Sus scrofa: one gene and its partner. The protein of the gene in region 2 purifies or fractionates together with the protein of the main gene of each other region. This does not show direct contact. Links are inferred from orthologs where the notes say so. Each region holds a gene or a part of one and is shown on either strand. Other genes may lie near its edges.

The links.
Region 1: the proteins of ASXL2 (region 2) and OGT purify together in Homo sapiens (affinity purification with mass spectrometry; 3 studies listed by BioGRID and IntAct, with this or other methods). This does not show direct contact. The link is inferred for Sus scrofa from reciprocal best matches to the Homo sapiens genes ASXL2 and OGT.

What each region holds. Positions count from the first base shown.
Region 1 is NC_010461.5:57,542,431-57,550,331, reverse strand, and holds part of OGT (UDP-N-acetylglucosamine--peptide N-acetylglucosaminyltransferase 110 kDa subunit), read right to left. Parts: intron 7,490-7,901; coding exon 7,400-7,489; intron 4,612-7,399; coding exon 4,486-4,611; intron 3,805-4,485; coding exon 3,634-3,804; intron 3,522-3,633; coding exon 3,405-3,521; intron 3,315-3,404; coding exon 3,144-3,314; intron 1,076-3,143; coding exon 923-1,075; intron 1-922. UniProt on the Homo sapiens protein: Catalyzes the transfer of a single N-acetylglucosamine from UDP-GlcNAc to a serine or threonine residue in cytoplasmic and nuclear proteins resulting in their modification with a beta-linked N-acetylglucosamine (O-GlcNAc).
Region 2 is NC_010445.4:113,041,235-113,049,910, reverse strand, and holds the start of ASXL2 (putative Polycomb group protein ASXL2), read right to left. Parts: upstream 5,124-8,676; 5' UTR 5,000-5,123; coding exon 4,664-4,999; intron 4,652-4,663; exon of another isoform or gene 4,065-4,651; intron 1-4,064.

The DNA.
Region 1 (7,901 bases), on a different chromosome or scaffold from region 2:
TCAAGATGTAGGAATATTCATACTAAATGGAATAAATAAAGAACCATAAATAGCCTAACTTCAGTTCAGGTAGTTCTGCTGCCAAATAAATTTATCACGAACTTATGAACATGCTTTTTTATGGTTTTTTGGTTTTTTTTAATGAGGAGGTGAAGATTAAGAGACAATAAATCTGTACTCATCTGCTTCTTCTTCTCAACTCTCCTCTCTCCTTTAAAAATACAAAACAGATAAAAAACTAGATAGTAATCAGGAAAAAAAACCAAGAATTATCTCCATTTTAAAAAGCTCTATGGAATAAGAGCCAGATACAGATAGCAAAGTTTAGAACCTTCAGATGTCCTGCTTATACAAACTGGTCTGATGAACTAACTGAAAGGTAATGGCATAAACCAGTTCCTTCCTGGTTATAACTCTACAATATTGGAAGAATGATGTTAAACATGGGTCGGATGTACCTAACAGCTCTGCTATCAGATTAGACCATGGGTTGGCAAACTACAGCCTGTGAGCCAAATCTGGCACATTGCCTGTCTTCATAGATAAAAATTTCTTGGAAGATACCTACACTCATTCATTCACATAATGAATATGGTGTTTTCCTGCTACAATGGCAGAAGTGAACAGATGTGACAGAGTATAGACGGCAAAACCAAAAGTATTTATGCCATCTGGCCTTTTAAGAAAAAGCCTGCTGATCCCTGCTTTTCGACACATAAATTCTAAAAGTTCATAATGTGACATTTAGACACTAGGAAAAATCAAAAATCACTGAAAATCTACAACCCTTGAAGATTAGACATGAGCACAACAGCTCCTGAATGGAGATGGGGGGCGGGGTGGGCAGGGCAGTCTCAGCAAGATGGCCTATATACAGAATCTCTTAGAGTCTCTAGACAACAATGAATCCACATATACTCACATTTGCCCACATCTGCAAAGTAGAAGGGTCAATTTTATATAACTGATTAAAGTTACAGTACACAATAGCATCTTCTGGTAACCCATACTGAGAACGTGTGGTGACAATAATAGTACGGGGAACCTCCTCTCCAGTGGCAGCCTTATTGTTGATCTAGAACAAGAAAAAGAAAATGATGATTATATTTAAAGTCAACATAGTCCAATAGTTTTCAATCAATAAAGAATCCTTATGATGCAAAGTGGTATAACCATTTTTTTAAATTGAACTATAGGAGTTCCCATCATGGCTCGGCAGTTAACGAACCCAACTGGCATCCATGAGGATGAGGGTCCTTGGCCTTTCTCAGTAGGTTAAGGATCTGGCATTGCCATGAGCTGTGATATAGGTTGCAGACGCAGCTCAGATCCCGCACTGCTGTGGCTCTGGTGTAGGCCTGCAGGCTACAGCTCCGATTGGACCCCTAGCCTGGGAACCTCCATATGCTGCAGGTGCAGCCATAAAAAGACAAAAAACAAACAAAAAAATTGAAATACAGTTGATTTACAGTGTGTTCGTTTCTTCTATAAAGCAAAGTGAGTCAGCTATACATATATATTCTTTTTATATTCTTTTCCATTATGTTTTACTATAAAATATTGAATTATCATTCCCTATGCTATACAGTAGGAGTGGTATAACCATTAAAAGTCATGTCTCTGAACTATAATGAGAATATATTCATGATACCTTAAAGGAAAAAAGCTACAGCGTTATCTTAATTTGGAGAAGACTGTACTATGCAAAGTCTTACCCTAGCCAGAGTTCTCTTCAAATCTCAATTAATCCAACAGCAAGCTTTTGCTCACTTTTTTCTCTGTGAATGAAATGTCTTTTTCTAAATCACACCCACTTTTCAAGGCTAAATTTAAATTACCCTTCCGAACAATCTCTACGAAGACTGCCTCTCCTCACACTGATCATCACTATTTCTATGTACACAATTACAGTTTTATCTCACAATTCCCATACATCTGGTTACTGCCTTACACTATTATGTAACTATTCCAAGTGTGATGGACATTTCATACATATAGGTATTGTGTTCTACACTCAAAATGCTTTGTCCCTGTACACATACAATTTAAGAATTGTATCTTTTCCCCTTAAGTCAAGCATGCCTACCCTATTGTTTCAAAGGCCAGTTAATCGAAGGAGTAAAAAAACATATAACTGTCTTTTTTAGCCCAATACACATTATGGGTGACTAATTCCTTTACCTGAATTCACATCAAGCATCCTTTATATAAACTGTTATGCCACTAAAAGTGTTCATTCTAAGAGGTCAGGGATTCTGCCCTTATTTTCTCTTGACAGAGCTTACATATTCACTTATTCAAGTATACAATATATATTTACTGAGCACATACCACATTACTGTGGCTAAAACACAGGCCCTAAAGTCATTCAATTCAGTAATTCAATTCAAACTCAGAGAATTAAAACATGTTGAGCTGGATGTAAAGATATAACCCAAATATCACAGAAGCAGAGAAAATAGGTATCAATGGGGCAGGGAAGGAGAGCTGAGGAATACGGAGAAAAACGGACTCCTAGAGGAGCTGTCTAAACTCAGTGTCTTAAAGATGAGTAAGTTTTAACTGAGGAAAGGATGAGTTACAGAAGCAAGAAACTGTATGATGCCTACAGACAATTCACCATTGATAAGAGTAAAACCATAGGCAGGGAATAACAAGATATTAACACAGAAAACTCTCATTAAGTAACCTGCTGGCTGAATTCAAGAGACATTTTAAAAATCAAACAAACTGGAGTTCCCGTCGTGGCTCAGCGGTTACTGAACCCAACTAGCATCCATGAGGATGCAGGTTCAATCCCTGGCCTTGCTCAGTGGGTTAAAGATCCAGCGTTGCCGAGAGCTGTGGTGTAAGTCGCAGATGCAGCTCGGATCCTGCATTGCTGTGGCGTAGGCCAGCTGCTTCAGCTCCAATTCGACCCCTAGCCTGGGAACCTCCATGTGCCACGGGTACAGCCCTAAAAAGACAAAAAGACAAAAAATAAATAAATAAAAATAAAACAAACCTAGAAGATGTCAATTTCTACTGAATTCATTTCCTAATCTATAAAACAGGAGTAGTGATGCTCACCTCTTAGCATTATGAAATTTAGAAGTAAATGCATATTTGGTGGTACACAACATGCTCTATTATTCTCTTCTCACCTGGGTAGTTGCCAGTCCATTGCTAATACTGAATCCATTAATTGTTATTTGAATTTGTCCTCTGTTAATCATTTCAATAACTGCTTCTGCAATAGTATTCATAGGAATGACAGGCATATTAAGAGCTGTATTACTGCTGTCCGCATTGTCTCCTCCATCAGGACATTTCATCTTAAAATAATTACACAAAATACATCATTAGGGAAAAGATCCCAAATGTAGGTAACTTTATTTCAATGACAATATTGACCAGGTTCTGACCTTTACAATTTTCACATCTGGGAGACTATCAAGAAATGCTTTGAGGTCGATGCCATTCAGCACAATCCGATTGTCATAAATGTGCCCATTGGACTTAAAATCGATGACTGCTTTTTTCTAATTGAAAAAAAGTTTCAGACATGTCTTTTAGGATGGATAGGAACAGTAGCAAGGAAATAAGTGACTACAGTTCTTTGCAATTCCCCCACAGCACTGTTTTTCTACCTACCTTCAGGTGAGGGAACATATTGGCATGATCACCAATAAAGAAAGTATGGGGCATATAAGCCAGTTTCTCAGAATACTGCTCAGCAACTTCAGCAGGTGAAGTTTCCTGATCAGTGATGATATAATCCATGAAAAGCGCGCCACTAGTCCCAGGGTACCCCAGCCACATTGCCTAGAAGAAAAAAGAAATCAGACCTTCATCAAAAGAGTCTAAAATTAGGGAGTTCCCGTCGTGGCGCAGTGGTTAACAAATCCGACTAGGAACCATGAGGTTGCGGGTTCAGTCCCTGCCCTTGCTCAGTGGGTTAATGATCGGGCATTGCCGTGAGCTGTGGTGTAAGTTGCAGACTCGGCTCGGATCCCGCGTTGCTGTGGCTCTGGCGTAGGCCATTGGCTACAGTTCCGATTCGACCCCTAGCCTGGGAACCTCCATGTGCCGCGGGAACGGCCCAAAGAAATATCAAAAAGACAAAAAAAAAAAAAAGAAAGAGTCTAAAATTAAATAAGTAAACAAACAAAACAAAGAGGGTGGACTTCTTTAGCCAAGAGCAATCAAGAAATATTTTAGATTAACCTTCTAGCACTAAAACATTTTTCCGATTTAAAAGAAAGAACAACTGTTTTTTACCCAACTACAAACTGCATGTTTCCATATACATGTACCTATGGGCACTGTGTTCTACACTCAAAATTATTTGTACCTGTGCATTTTCAAGAACTATACTTTTTTTAGTAAGTCAAGCATATCTGCTCTATTGTTTCAAATGCCAGGTAACCAGGGGTGTAGGGGGCAGCACATCACTGTCTTCTTAGCCCAATAAACAATGGGAGTGATTATTATTATTTCCTTTACCTGAATAGGAGCTGGCCTGAGAGCAAAGAGTTCATTGCGAGCACCCTTGGTATAACCATTCATATTTACAAGGATGTGTATACCATCTTGATGGATGCGATCGGCTGCTTTTCCGTTACATGGAATCTATGGAATAAAAAAATAAGAACTCACTATGTATAAATCTCAGACTAATTCAACTGATCTTAATGACATTAAACAAAATTCAAATTCCCAGATGCAAAAGTGGAAAGAACACAAATTACATTAATGCAAGGTAAAATATGATTAAGTGCCATTAAAATGGGCACAAAGCATTACAAAAACAATACAGCGGAAGGAGAGTTTACTTCTAGAATGAATGTATGAACAACTAACTAGCCTTCGTAGGGGGGTTGGTATCTGAAATGGCTCTTCAAAGATAGGAATTTGAGGGAGCTGGAGAGAATACAACCTTAGCAGAGAACTGCATGAATGAAGAACGAAAGTAAAGCACATGGTAGCTTTAAAAAATGGTAGCGTTGCTGTGACTGTGGCGTAGGCCGGCAGCTGTAGCTCCAATTCGACCCCTAGCCTGGAAACCTCCATATGCCGCGGGTGCGGCCCTGAAAAGACAAAAGATAAAAAAAAGTAATAATGGTGAGTAGAGTTCCCATCGTGGCTCAGTGGAAACGAATCTGACTGGTAACCTTGAGGACACAGGTACAATCCCTGGCCTTCCTCAGTGGATTAATGATCCGGCATTGCCATGAGCTGTAGTGTAGGTTATAAACACAGCTTGGATCCAGCATTGCTGTGGCTGTGGTGTGGACTGGCAGCTACAGCTCTGATTCGACCCCTAGCCTGGGACTCCATAGGCCATGGGTGCAGCCCTAAAAATAAAAATAAAAATAAATAAAAAACAAATTAAAAAATGGTGAGTGGATCACTTCTATTTGGTACAGGGTAAACCTGAGGGCGAATGGTGGGTGAAAAACATTGGTAAACAAGTTTGTAGTCAAACCTTGAAAGGTTGTGAAGGCCATGCTGAAGAGTTTAGACTTCATATATGCACACCAATGTTCACTGCAGCATTATTTACAATTGCCAAGATATGGAAGTGACCTAAGTGTCCATTGATGAATAAATGGATAAAGATGTGAGATACACACACACAAAATGGAATATTCCTCAGCTGTTTAAAAAAAAAAAAAGAAATCTTGCCATTTGCAACATGAATGGATCTACAGGGTATTATGCTAAGTGAAATAAATCAGAGAAAGACAAGTACCATATGATCTCACTTACAGATAGATCTAAAAAACAACAAATAAACAAAACAAAACAAAAACAGACTAGATACAGAGAACAAATGGGTGGTTGCCAGAGGGGAGAAGGAGTGAGGGGACAAAATAGGTAAACAGGATTAAGAAGTACAAACCTCCAGTTATAAAAATAAGCAAGCCGCAGGGATATAACATAAGGAATATGGTCAACGATACTGTAGTAACTTTGTATGGGATGACAGATGGTTACTAGACTTATCATGGTGACTTCATAATGTGTATAAATGTAAATTAACTATGTTGTATACCTGAAACTAACATAATATTGTATATCAACTATATTTCAATATATATATATATTAAAAATTAATCATTTTTGAGTTTCCACTGTGGCTCAGTGGTAACAAACCCGACTAGTAGCCATGAGAATGCGGGTTTGATCCCTGGCCTCACTCAGTGAGTAGAGGATTCAGCACTGCCATGAGCTGTGTGTAGGTTGCAGATGCAGCTCGGATCCTGTGCTGCTGTGGTATAGGTCACCAGCTGCAGCTCCGATTCAACCCGTAGCCTGGGAATTTCCATATGCCATATGTGCGGCCCTAAAAAGGGAAAAAAAATTAATTTTTCTTTTTTTAAGAATTTAGCCTTCAGTCAATAAGCAGTGAGTCCCTGAAGGCCTCGAAGGCAGAGGGCAGTATGCCTCGTGGTCACAAAGAGTCCAACCCTACAACAAAAACAGTCAGGCATACTTCTAAAGCAACAGCTGTAACACAAAAGATGTTGGTACAAATTATTTATGAAATGACAAGAGTCTCACAACCCTTCTGCTAGGACTTCAACAATTCATATATGAATTACTAGTTATACAACGCATGCCTATATTAGTCACCAAAGGGGCCAACAGAGTCTATACGAAAAAACTTTAGGGAGTTCCCATTGTGGCTCAGTAAATTACGAACCCGACTAGTATCCACGAGGATGCAGGTTCAATCCCTGGCCTCGCTCAGTAGATTAAGTATCCGGCCTTGCCGCCAGCTGTGGTGTAGGTCTGTAGGTCACAGGCACAGTTCAGATCCCACATTGCTGTTGCTGTGGCATAGGCCAGCAGCTGCAGCTCCAAATCAGCCCCTGGCCTGGGAACTTCCATGTGCTGCAAGTGCAGCCCTAAAAAAAAGGGAAAGAGAAAACTCTAGTCCACGCCTTCAGCAAATTAGTCCACAACTTCAGCAAACAAGTTTCAATCTTAATTTATCATAAAACTTTTGCTCCTAGAAGAAACAGCAATGGAGCAAGTATAGAAATAAAGATAACCAAAGGTAAAAGGCCCTTTAAATGAGCTATCTGCTGTTCTTCCAAGCCACCATTTTGCTCAATTTATTTAATGTTAGGCATTTACTGTTACTAGTGCTAGCCCAATCCCCAGAAATATACCAAGCACAAATATACCACATTTCTATTTCATTTGCAACCTCTCAGCAAAATCCATGCTGATTATAAATTTAATGTAATATTTGTAAACAATCAAGGAAATAAGATCAAAGCAATTGCCCATATGTATGGAGTAGCTAATATTCAATACCTGTCATGAAAAATGCAAGCTATAATACACCTACAGTTTCATTCATTATTTGTTCAAAATAAAAAGTTGGAAGTGTAAGGGTTTCGCCTACCTGAGAAAGATCAATGAAATGATTGGCTTCTGCCATCACCTTCACTCGGAAGTTTGTGCCATCATCTGGGCTCAGGGCATAACAGAATACCTGAAAGGCGACACATACGATATTTAATAACCTTGACGCAAACCTTTCCAAAAGGTTTTGAGCGCAACACTTAACGGTGCCAATAAAGCCACCACTGAGGGTTTGTTTGGTTTTATAAATAAATAGTGACTCATGGAAAAATGGGCAAAAGACCTGAATAGACATTTCTCCAAGGAAGATATACAGATGGCCAACAAACACATGAAAACATGCTCAACATCGCTGATTATAAGAGAAATGCAAATCAAAACTACCATGAGATACCACCTCACACCAGTCAGCATGGCCATCATTAATAAATCCACAAATAACAAGTGCTGGAGGGGCTGTGGAGAAAAGGGAACCCTCCTGCACTGCTGGTGGGAATGTCAACTGGTACAGCCACTATGGAGAACAGTTTGGAGATACCTTA
Region 2 (8,676 bases):
CAGAAGTTCCCGGCGTGGCTCAGTAGTTAACAAATCTGACTAGGAACCATGAGGTTGCGGGTTCGATCCCTGGCCTTGCTCAGTGGGTTAAGGATCCAGCATTGCCATGAGCTGTGGTGTAGGTTGCAGACACGGCTCAGATCCCACGTTGCTGTGGCTGTGGTGTAGGTCAGTGGCTACAGCTCCGATTGGACCCCTAGCCTGGGAACCTCCATATGCCCTAGAAAAGGCAAAAAGACAAAAAAAAAAAAAAAAAAAAAAAAAAAAAAAAAGTACTTTCAAAACAGTATTAACCACTAAGTGAAATACAAACAAAAAAAAAGCCCACTTTTTCTTACAAATAAAATTCTAAAGATTTACACTACTCTGCTATGCTTCTCACCTCTAACACCCATGCTTCACTTCCTGTATCTGACCTCTTAACTCCCCAAAGATACCCAAAAGCACCTCTCGTGCAATCTCTAAGGTCTACCTCTCTGTCCGTCCATCTATAATCACAACAAATCCGTCCTAAAAGGAACTTTTTTTTCCCTTTTAATACTCCCCTTGATGTAGTGGGTAACAAGGGGAAAAATCAAAAAGAAAACAGTATCAATAAGATTATACTATTTCGAAAGCTCTGTTTTGCAAAAAAAGCTAAATTCTGCAGGGATGTTACCAAATATTTACATAATACAATGTCTTCTATTTTTTTTTTTAAGGAATGAGCATTAACTTTGAATATAGTTCTAAAGTCAGTGCAATGGTTCTTAGTGTCTCTGGCTTATTACAAATTTTTCTATTTAAATTGCATCAAACATGCCTCCACAGATCTCTCATCCAAATCATTTCATCACCACTATTATTGTCACCTTTAAAATTTAAAACATATAAGACTGTTAACTAAATACTTGAATAATACTTTTTTTTTTTTTTTTTGGTCTTTTGCCTTTTCTAGGGCCACTCCAGAGGCATATGGAGGTTCCCAGGCTAGGGGTCTAATTGGAGCTGTTGCTGCCGGCCTACCACCACAGCCACAGCAACGAGGGATCCGAGCCGCGTCTGCAACCTACACCACAACTCACAGCAAGGCCAGATCCTTAACCCATTGAGCGAGGCCAGGGATTGAACCCGCAACCTCATGGTTCCTAGTCGGATTCGTTAACCACTGAGCCATGATGGGAATTCCAGAATAATCTTTTTATAACTAGTATATTTATATAAAATATAAGATCAGTGGGAACACAATGAGCATTCAAGTTCAGCTGAATCTCAGCTCCATTATTTCTCTGTCCTTACTTATTGGAACCAGTCTATAGCCTATTTTTAATCAGCCTTTCCGAGTAATTTTATAATTATATAATAATTATGAATCTTATTTATTTTGCCTTTTCAGATTGTTCATAGAAATCTTTTTCTTTTTATGGCCACACCTGTGGCATATGTAAGTTCCTGGGCCAGGGGTCAAATCAGAGTTGCAGCTGGGGCCTACATCACAGCAACAGCAACCCTGGACCCAAGCCACTTCTGTGATATACGTACACTGCAGCTGTGGCAACACTGTATTCTTAAACCACTGAGCAAGGCCAGGGATCAAACTCACATCCTCACAGAGATAACATCTGGCTCTTAACCCACTGAGCCACAATGGCAACTCACATAGCAATCTTAATATCAATTTGCAACTCTCACATACACACACTCCAAAACACATATGTATATATACATTAGTAATTGATTAAATATATCTGTTGCTGTATTATTGGTCAAGAATATGAACCCATTCTAATAACACTCGCTAAAACTGGACAGCTCTACAACACAGGTACCAAGAACACAACAAGAGGCAGATACTTCCTTTCTGAAACTCTGGTTCCTAAAACATTTGACCTTAATGCCTATGAAATAAGTTTAAGACTTACTTCTCCTGGTCCTCTCGATCTTATCAATACTCACAGGGTTTTCTAATTTAGGTCAAAGTTACTCCCATTTGTCAAACCACTCATTTTCCAATCTCATTATTCTGCAGTCTGAAAACATGAAAGATTTACTCCTGTCTATTCCTCTCACATTTACTTCTACACAGTCCCCCTACAAACAGAATCCTTTTTAACACTGAGGTTTAGTGTAATTCCTCACTATAGAAATGATAAAACAAAAAAAGAGTAGTGTTTTCTAGATTTTGGCTACAAGAAAAAAATAAATTTCAGTGTCCCTAGTCTCTTCCTAAAATTCATTTTTATTTAGACTGAAGTCTTATGCATGTGCCAGAATTAAATAAAAACACCAAGCTACTAATACACTAACCCCGTCAAGAACTCACTCAGAGCTCTACTGATTAAGCTAGAATTCCATCTTTGAAATACTACTTTCACAGAGCTAGCTATGGCATGAAATGCTTATTAAAAATGAGCGGATATTCTCATTTATTATAGGAAAATCTAAACAGTAGATGCAAATTTGTCCTGTCACAATCTCCCAATGACTAGATTATTTTATCCAGAGATAATTCAAAAAGTACTCTTAAGCTTCTAGACTTAAAGTTAATTAACATAATTAATTAGGAGTAGGATTTGCTTACATATAATAATAAAGTTTACCCTCTCTTTTATTTTTTATTTATTTATGTCTTTTTTTGCCTTTTCTAGGGCAGCTTCGCAAGGCATATGGAGGTTCCCAGGTTAGCAGGAGCTGTAGCGGCCAACTTACGTCAGAGCCACAGCAACTCGGGATCCGAGCTGCATCTGCAACCTACACCACAGCTCACGGCAACGCCAGATCCTTAACCCACTGAGCAAGGCCAGGGATCAAACCTGCAACCTCATGGTTCCTAGTCAGATTCATTAACCACTGGGCCATTACAGGAACTCCTACCCTCTCGTTTCATAAAAGAGATTGTAAAGTAGTATTGACCAGGTACAACAGTAGAACAGTCTTTTGTGAAGGAGCAATTTCCCCACTATCAAAAAAAAAAATTATTTCTAGAGTTTTTTCTTTAAGTCGGTTTAGAGGGAAATGGCCAATGGTCACAATTATCAAGATATATTGTAGGTGAAAACACTTAACAAATAAATGTGCTTTTTATTTATTCATCAACTTTTGTACCTTTCCAACTAAAATAGACATACAAGTGTAAGACTCATCAACCCTCTAAGGCATAACGTTTACAAAACAAATGCACAGGGGTTCCCGTCCTGGTGCAGTTGTTAACGAATCCTACTAGGAATCATGAGGCTGCTGGTTCGATCCCTGCCCTTGCTCAGTGGGTTAAGGATACGGCGTTGCTGTGAGCTGTGGTGTAGGTTCCAGACTCGGCTCGGATCCTGCGTTGCTGTGGCTCTGGCGTAGGTCGGTGGCTACAGCTCCGATTAGACCCCTAGCCTGGGAACCTCCATATGCCTCGGGAGTGGCCCAAGAAATAGCAAAAAGACAAAAAGACAAAAAAAAAAAAAAAAAGCACAAGTAGGACCCAGATTTCGGGAAATAAATTCAAATTCAGGGCTCTGACGGATGAAACACACGATTTATTTCCTTCTTGATACTAAAATCCTAGAGCTTTAACATATATTTTCCCACAATTAACATATATTACTTTTATTTAAACTCCCCTTTAAAAAATAAACCACACAACTCTTCACTTAGAAGAGTGCTCCACGTTGTACAAGTATTGACATCATTCACCATTAAGATTATGCTTCCACTCATTCTCACTTCCAACTCTAAATGCTGTTTTGTGTCCCACAACTTCTCTGCTGCACTCTCAAAGATGGAATGAACCTGACTTTCTCTAAACGTTTCATTTCTACATACATGCACGCTTTTAAATTTTTTCATGAAACAAAACTTCTCACTCATCCTCAATATTCTATTTTTTAAAACCTACTTCTAAACTTCACAATAATAAATTTAGAAAAGGGGGAAAGAAGGATGGTTTTATCCACTACAACTTCGTGAGGCCATCGCTTTAGCTACGGAAAAGTCAAGGCTCAGTAAACTACACGTCCCACCATGCTTTGCTGCCTTGTTCAGAGTAGGTCTCTACGGAAACAGAAAAAAAAAAAAAAAAAAAATTCTACAAGTCCCACCTGTTACTTCGTTTCTAAACACCTCCAGCACTTTCAGCTGCAACAGCAAACATAAAACAAGAGCCTCGTGACCTCCGGCCGGATCCGGGAGCCCAGACAAGCAAGGGGCCCGGGGTCAGGCGGCAGATCTGCTACAGCGGGTGGGTTCTACCCAGCGCCAGCGCTCCCCTCTTCTTTCCGGGGCTGGGTGCACGCACAAGCCTTCTCCTATCTGCATCCAATGGGGGCTCTTCAGCCGCAAAAGGGAGAAGAACCGGTTACTGTGCAAGCACAACAGACTTCCCCATGCCGGGGCGGGGGCTACCACGGAGTCGGGGTGAGAGCGTCGCGACCCAGAGAGCAGCTTCAAAACACCAAGAGGATTCGTCGCAGAGCAGGGAGAAGCCACAGCCCCGTGGCGACCCTCTTCCGCTGGCGCCTCCATTCCCACAGGGACCACAAACCCGACACTAACCGCCGCCCTCGCCGCGCGGTTTTTTGCCCCCTCAGTCGAGTGGCAGGACCATTGACCCCCCCACCCCGCGCCGCTTCCCCTGCGACCGGTGGGCGGAGAAGGAACGAAAACCTCCTGGCTTTCCACTCCGCTCCCTCCTCCTTACCGTCTTGGCGGCCTCCGCCCAGGTCCTGCCCTTCTTCCTACGGCCCTTTTCCCTCATGTCGGGTCTTGAACTGACTGGGAGGCTCCCGTGTCCGGGCTCCAGCCGCCCTCCCTGCCTGCTCTGCCCTGCGCTGTTTTTCCCGCGGTGCCGGGAAAGGTGGGAGAAAGGGGAAGTCAGGCCAGAGGAGCACCCAAGCAGAGGAAGCGGCGGCGGTGGTGCGCGGGGTGGGGGTGGGGGGGGGAAATCTATGAAGCGGCCGGTCCTCCTGCTGCCGTTGCCACTGCTACCGCCGCTGCCATATTGGGTCCTTACTGTACAGGCAGCCGCTACGGTCATGTGACCGCTCCCGCGCGGCCGTCACTACTGTACGCAGCCGGCCGCGCGAGCGAGCGCGCGCGCGCTCCCGCCACCTGCGCCGGGCTGCGGAGAGAGCGAGCCAGCAGTGCCCGGCGCCTAGCCACGCCCCCGCCCTTCCGCTCTCCGCCTCTCCTCGCGAGCTTGCGCAAAGGGAAGGACCGACGCTGCGCTGCGTCGGGCGTCCTGCGCTTACGCCTACAGCAAAAACCTGCGGAAGCGGAACTTGATCCGTCCCGGAAGGTTTATTGAGCGGATTCTGACCGCGTTGGGAGGGCGTTACGGTGACTTTATAGACATAATCCTGGGGAGAACCGTGCTCTTCCTTCTAGGAGCAACCCTCCCAAGTATCACTTTCAATGAGCCTCGAAGTTGCGTTTTTTTGTCTATGTTCATTTTCATAAAGGCTCTCTTTTTGAAGGTTTGCAGTAATTCTAGCCTATCTGTTTATGCCATCTGATAGATGAAGCAATTTGAGTTTGAGTGACTTGCTAAACTCACGAGTCTGGAATGCGGTGAAACCAAAAATCAAATTACCGCCTCAGAGTCCTTTCTGTCTCCCCAGAGTGCCTCTCAAACTTAGGTGACCTTTATTTTAAGGCCACCAATAACTACATTCACACTTTTACTTGTGAATGTCTCATCAAGGACACAAATGGTGTCTTTTTTATCTGGGTGAGTTCAGTCCCTGGCACAGTGCCTGTACATATCAGGCGCCCAGTAAATATTTGCTGAATGATTCAGCTGTAGCTGTAGTCAGAAACCATTATTTGTAATGACCTTAACTGCCTCCTGAAAGATACAGAATGTGGCATCTTCCATCGAAATGTCCTTGTCTTGATACTTTGCAAAAAGGGCAGTAATGCCTACTAATCTCCCAAGTCCACCTGCTTCCAGAAGCTGCTTCCGGTCTACTAAATTTACTATGTTCTAAAATAAGACTGAGAGTTGGGCTGCCTCTTGGGAGAAAAGACAGTTGAGAACAATACTTATCTTGGAGTCCAAGGATGCGTTTCAGAAGCTCATGGCCCCTCTAAAATTATGGAAAGTATTTTGTATGTGTTAGTTGTGTATTTTTTGAGAAGAGGATTCATAACATTTCGTCATTTTTTTAAAGGAGTCTTTTACACACGTACACAAGTCTTAAGAGGGCGTCTGAGAGGGCTTCTGGAAACTTCTTTATCTTTCCCCTTCAACCATTGACAGTCAAACAGCCCCATATCAGCAATTGATACGGTCATGTTTTCACCAATTTCTTTAGTGATAGCATGATCCGTAACACTCAAGGGATGTACCGTCTCCCTCTAAAGCCTAGGTCTATAGTCTGTTCAAGAAGCAGCTCTCCATTCCTAGCCATTGCCTGGGACTTGTCATCTAGCCCTGTTGCCTGAGAATTTTACCTCAGCTTGTTTTCAGATCTTGCTAGGACAGATTTTCCCGCTGTCCTTACTTTGCTTTTCTGGAGCTCCATTCCCAGATTTTAATTTCAAGGGTAGGGGTTGTGGTAATGCAGTTCCTACTTGTTAAACTTCAACAGATCTGGATAATTTTGTTGTTATTATTATTAATAATAATGAATTATAATTCCCCAGAGACTATGTTTGTTCTAGTGTGTATTGATTCAATTTGTTATGCCTATTTGCCTCTCTCACATCATTTTCATTCAGTTCTGGATTTCCCTAAATGTTCTACCTCTACTCCCACCCTACTCAAACCCATCCTTCAAAGGATGCCAGATCTTACTTCTTAAAAACCCATCCTCCCCCACAGCGACACTCTCCATAATTCCTAATCAGGCCAAATTTCTTAGCCCTGCTTCTACTTTTGCCTCTTCATTTCATTGATACTACTGATTCGCATATCATATAAAAATCATTGGCCACCAGGTGTCTTTATACTTTGCAAAAAGTGTAGTAATGCCAACCAATCTCCCAAGGGCAGGATCCATGCCCTCCCAGCAAAGCCAGGGATCAAACCTGCATCCTCATGGATTCTAGTCGGATTCGTTTCCACTGTGCCAGGAAGGGAACTCCCATGGTACAAATTTAATCCCTGGCCTGAAAACATCCACGTGCCAAAAAAGAAAAAAAAAATGAAATATATAATCTTTCCAGGGTAAAATAAAGAAACCTCTTTTCCCTACCACCTTACCCTACCAAATTATTTTTCCTTTTTTTTCCCCTCTTCCTTTTTTTTTCAACCTGCTGCACCCCAAGAGAACTCCCCCCATTATTTTTCTCACTGTGGAGACTCAGACTGACTGATCTGTGATCATTTTGCCTCTCAGAGGTTGGGTGGGCCACTTAAACTTTTTAAGCCTCAGTTCTCTCTACTAGGGGTTATTATGAGGTCTGCGTGAAGTAATAGATGTCAAGTGCTTAGAATAGCACCTGGTAGAGTGTAAGCCATCAATTAATGTTAACTATTGTAGTTTATATATTATTATATTTATTATGTAATAAATATATAATATTTTAATTTATAAATTTATTATTATTATAAATTTATTATGTTATTATAATAAATTCTGACCAGAAAAGAGGACAAAAGTAAAACATCTGAACTCTTCTTCCCGCCTGCAAAACTTATAAATAGCTGTTTCCATTTCTCTACTATGCAACAAGATTTAGCTTACTTGGTGACTGGGCCAGGAAGAGGAAAAGACAGCAAAGGAATTGACTGTTGAATGTCTGCTACATACCTGGCAATTTATATGAGGATATGATGATTGAGAAACTTTTCAAGAAATAATGCTTTGAGGGACAATTTCTGCCAACTACTAATATGACCTTGAAATGCTCAGTCCAATTCAATTAAACATATGACTTTCGTATCTTTCAACCATGAGCCAAACACTAAGGACCAGAAATGAGTGCAAGACAGCAAAACAGGGAGGACAAGGACGGCAGCTGTCATGCTCATTAGTATATTTTCAGTGTCTAGAGTGTCACCTTGTAATAGGAGATCTCAATATAATTTTATTAAGTGAAAAAGCAGATGAATGAATAAATGAGCACGACAGAGCCCCTACTCCCAAGTAGCTCATGTTAAAGTAAAAAAAACCTTATAAACAAATTAAATACCACATATTGTCATACATGCCATCATAAACATATATGCACTATCCTAAAGTGACAGAGACCAAAAGGTAATAAATTCCATGGGGACTAGAGCTGGGGAGGATGTCCAGCAAGACTCTGAGGAGGAGAACTTTATTTTATTTTATTTTGCTTTTTAGGGCTGCACCCACGGCATATGGAAGTTCCCAGGCTAGGGGTTGAATCAGAGCTACAGTTGCTGGCCTACGCCAGAGCCACAGCAACGCCAGATCCAAGCCACATCTGCAACCTACACCACAGCTCACAGCTAGGCCAGATCCTTAACCCACTGAGCAAGGCCAGGGACTAAACCCGAGTCCTCGTGGATACTAGTCTGGTTTGTTACCACTGAGTCACTATGGGAACTCCCTCACTAACTTTAATTTGTCACCTATGACTTTGTCACCAACAGAAACCGCAGATATTTTTCATATTATACTACGGAAATAAGTTTATATTTATCATAACTTCACAGCGTCAATATTACTAAACCTGCCACTAGATCATGTTACTTGAGGCATTAGCAATGAACCACCTAGGAGTTCCCATCCTGGGTCAGCT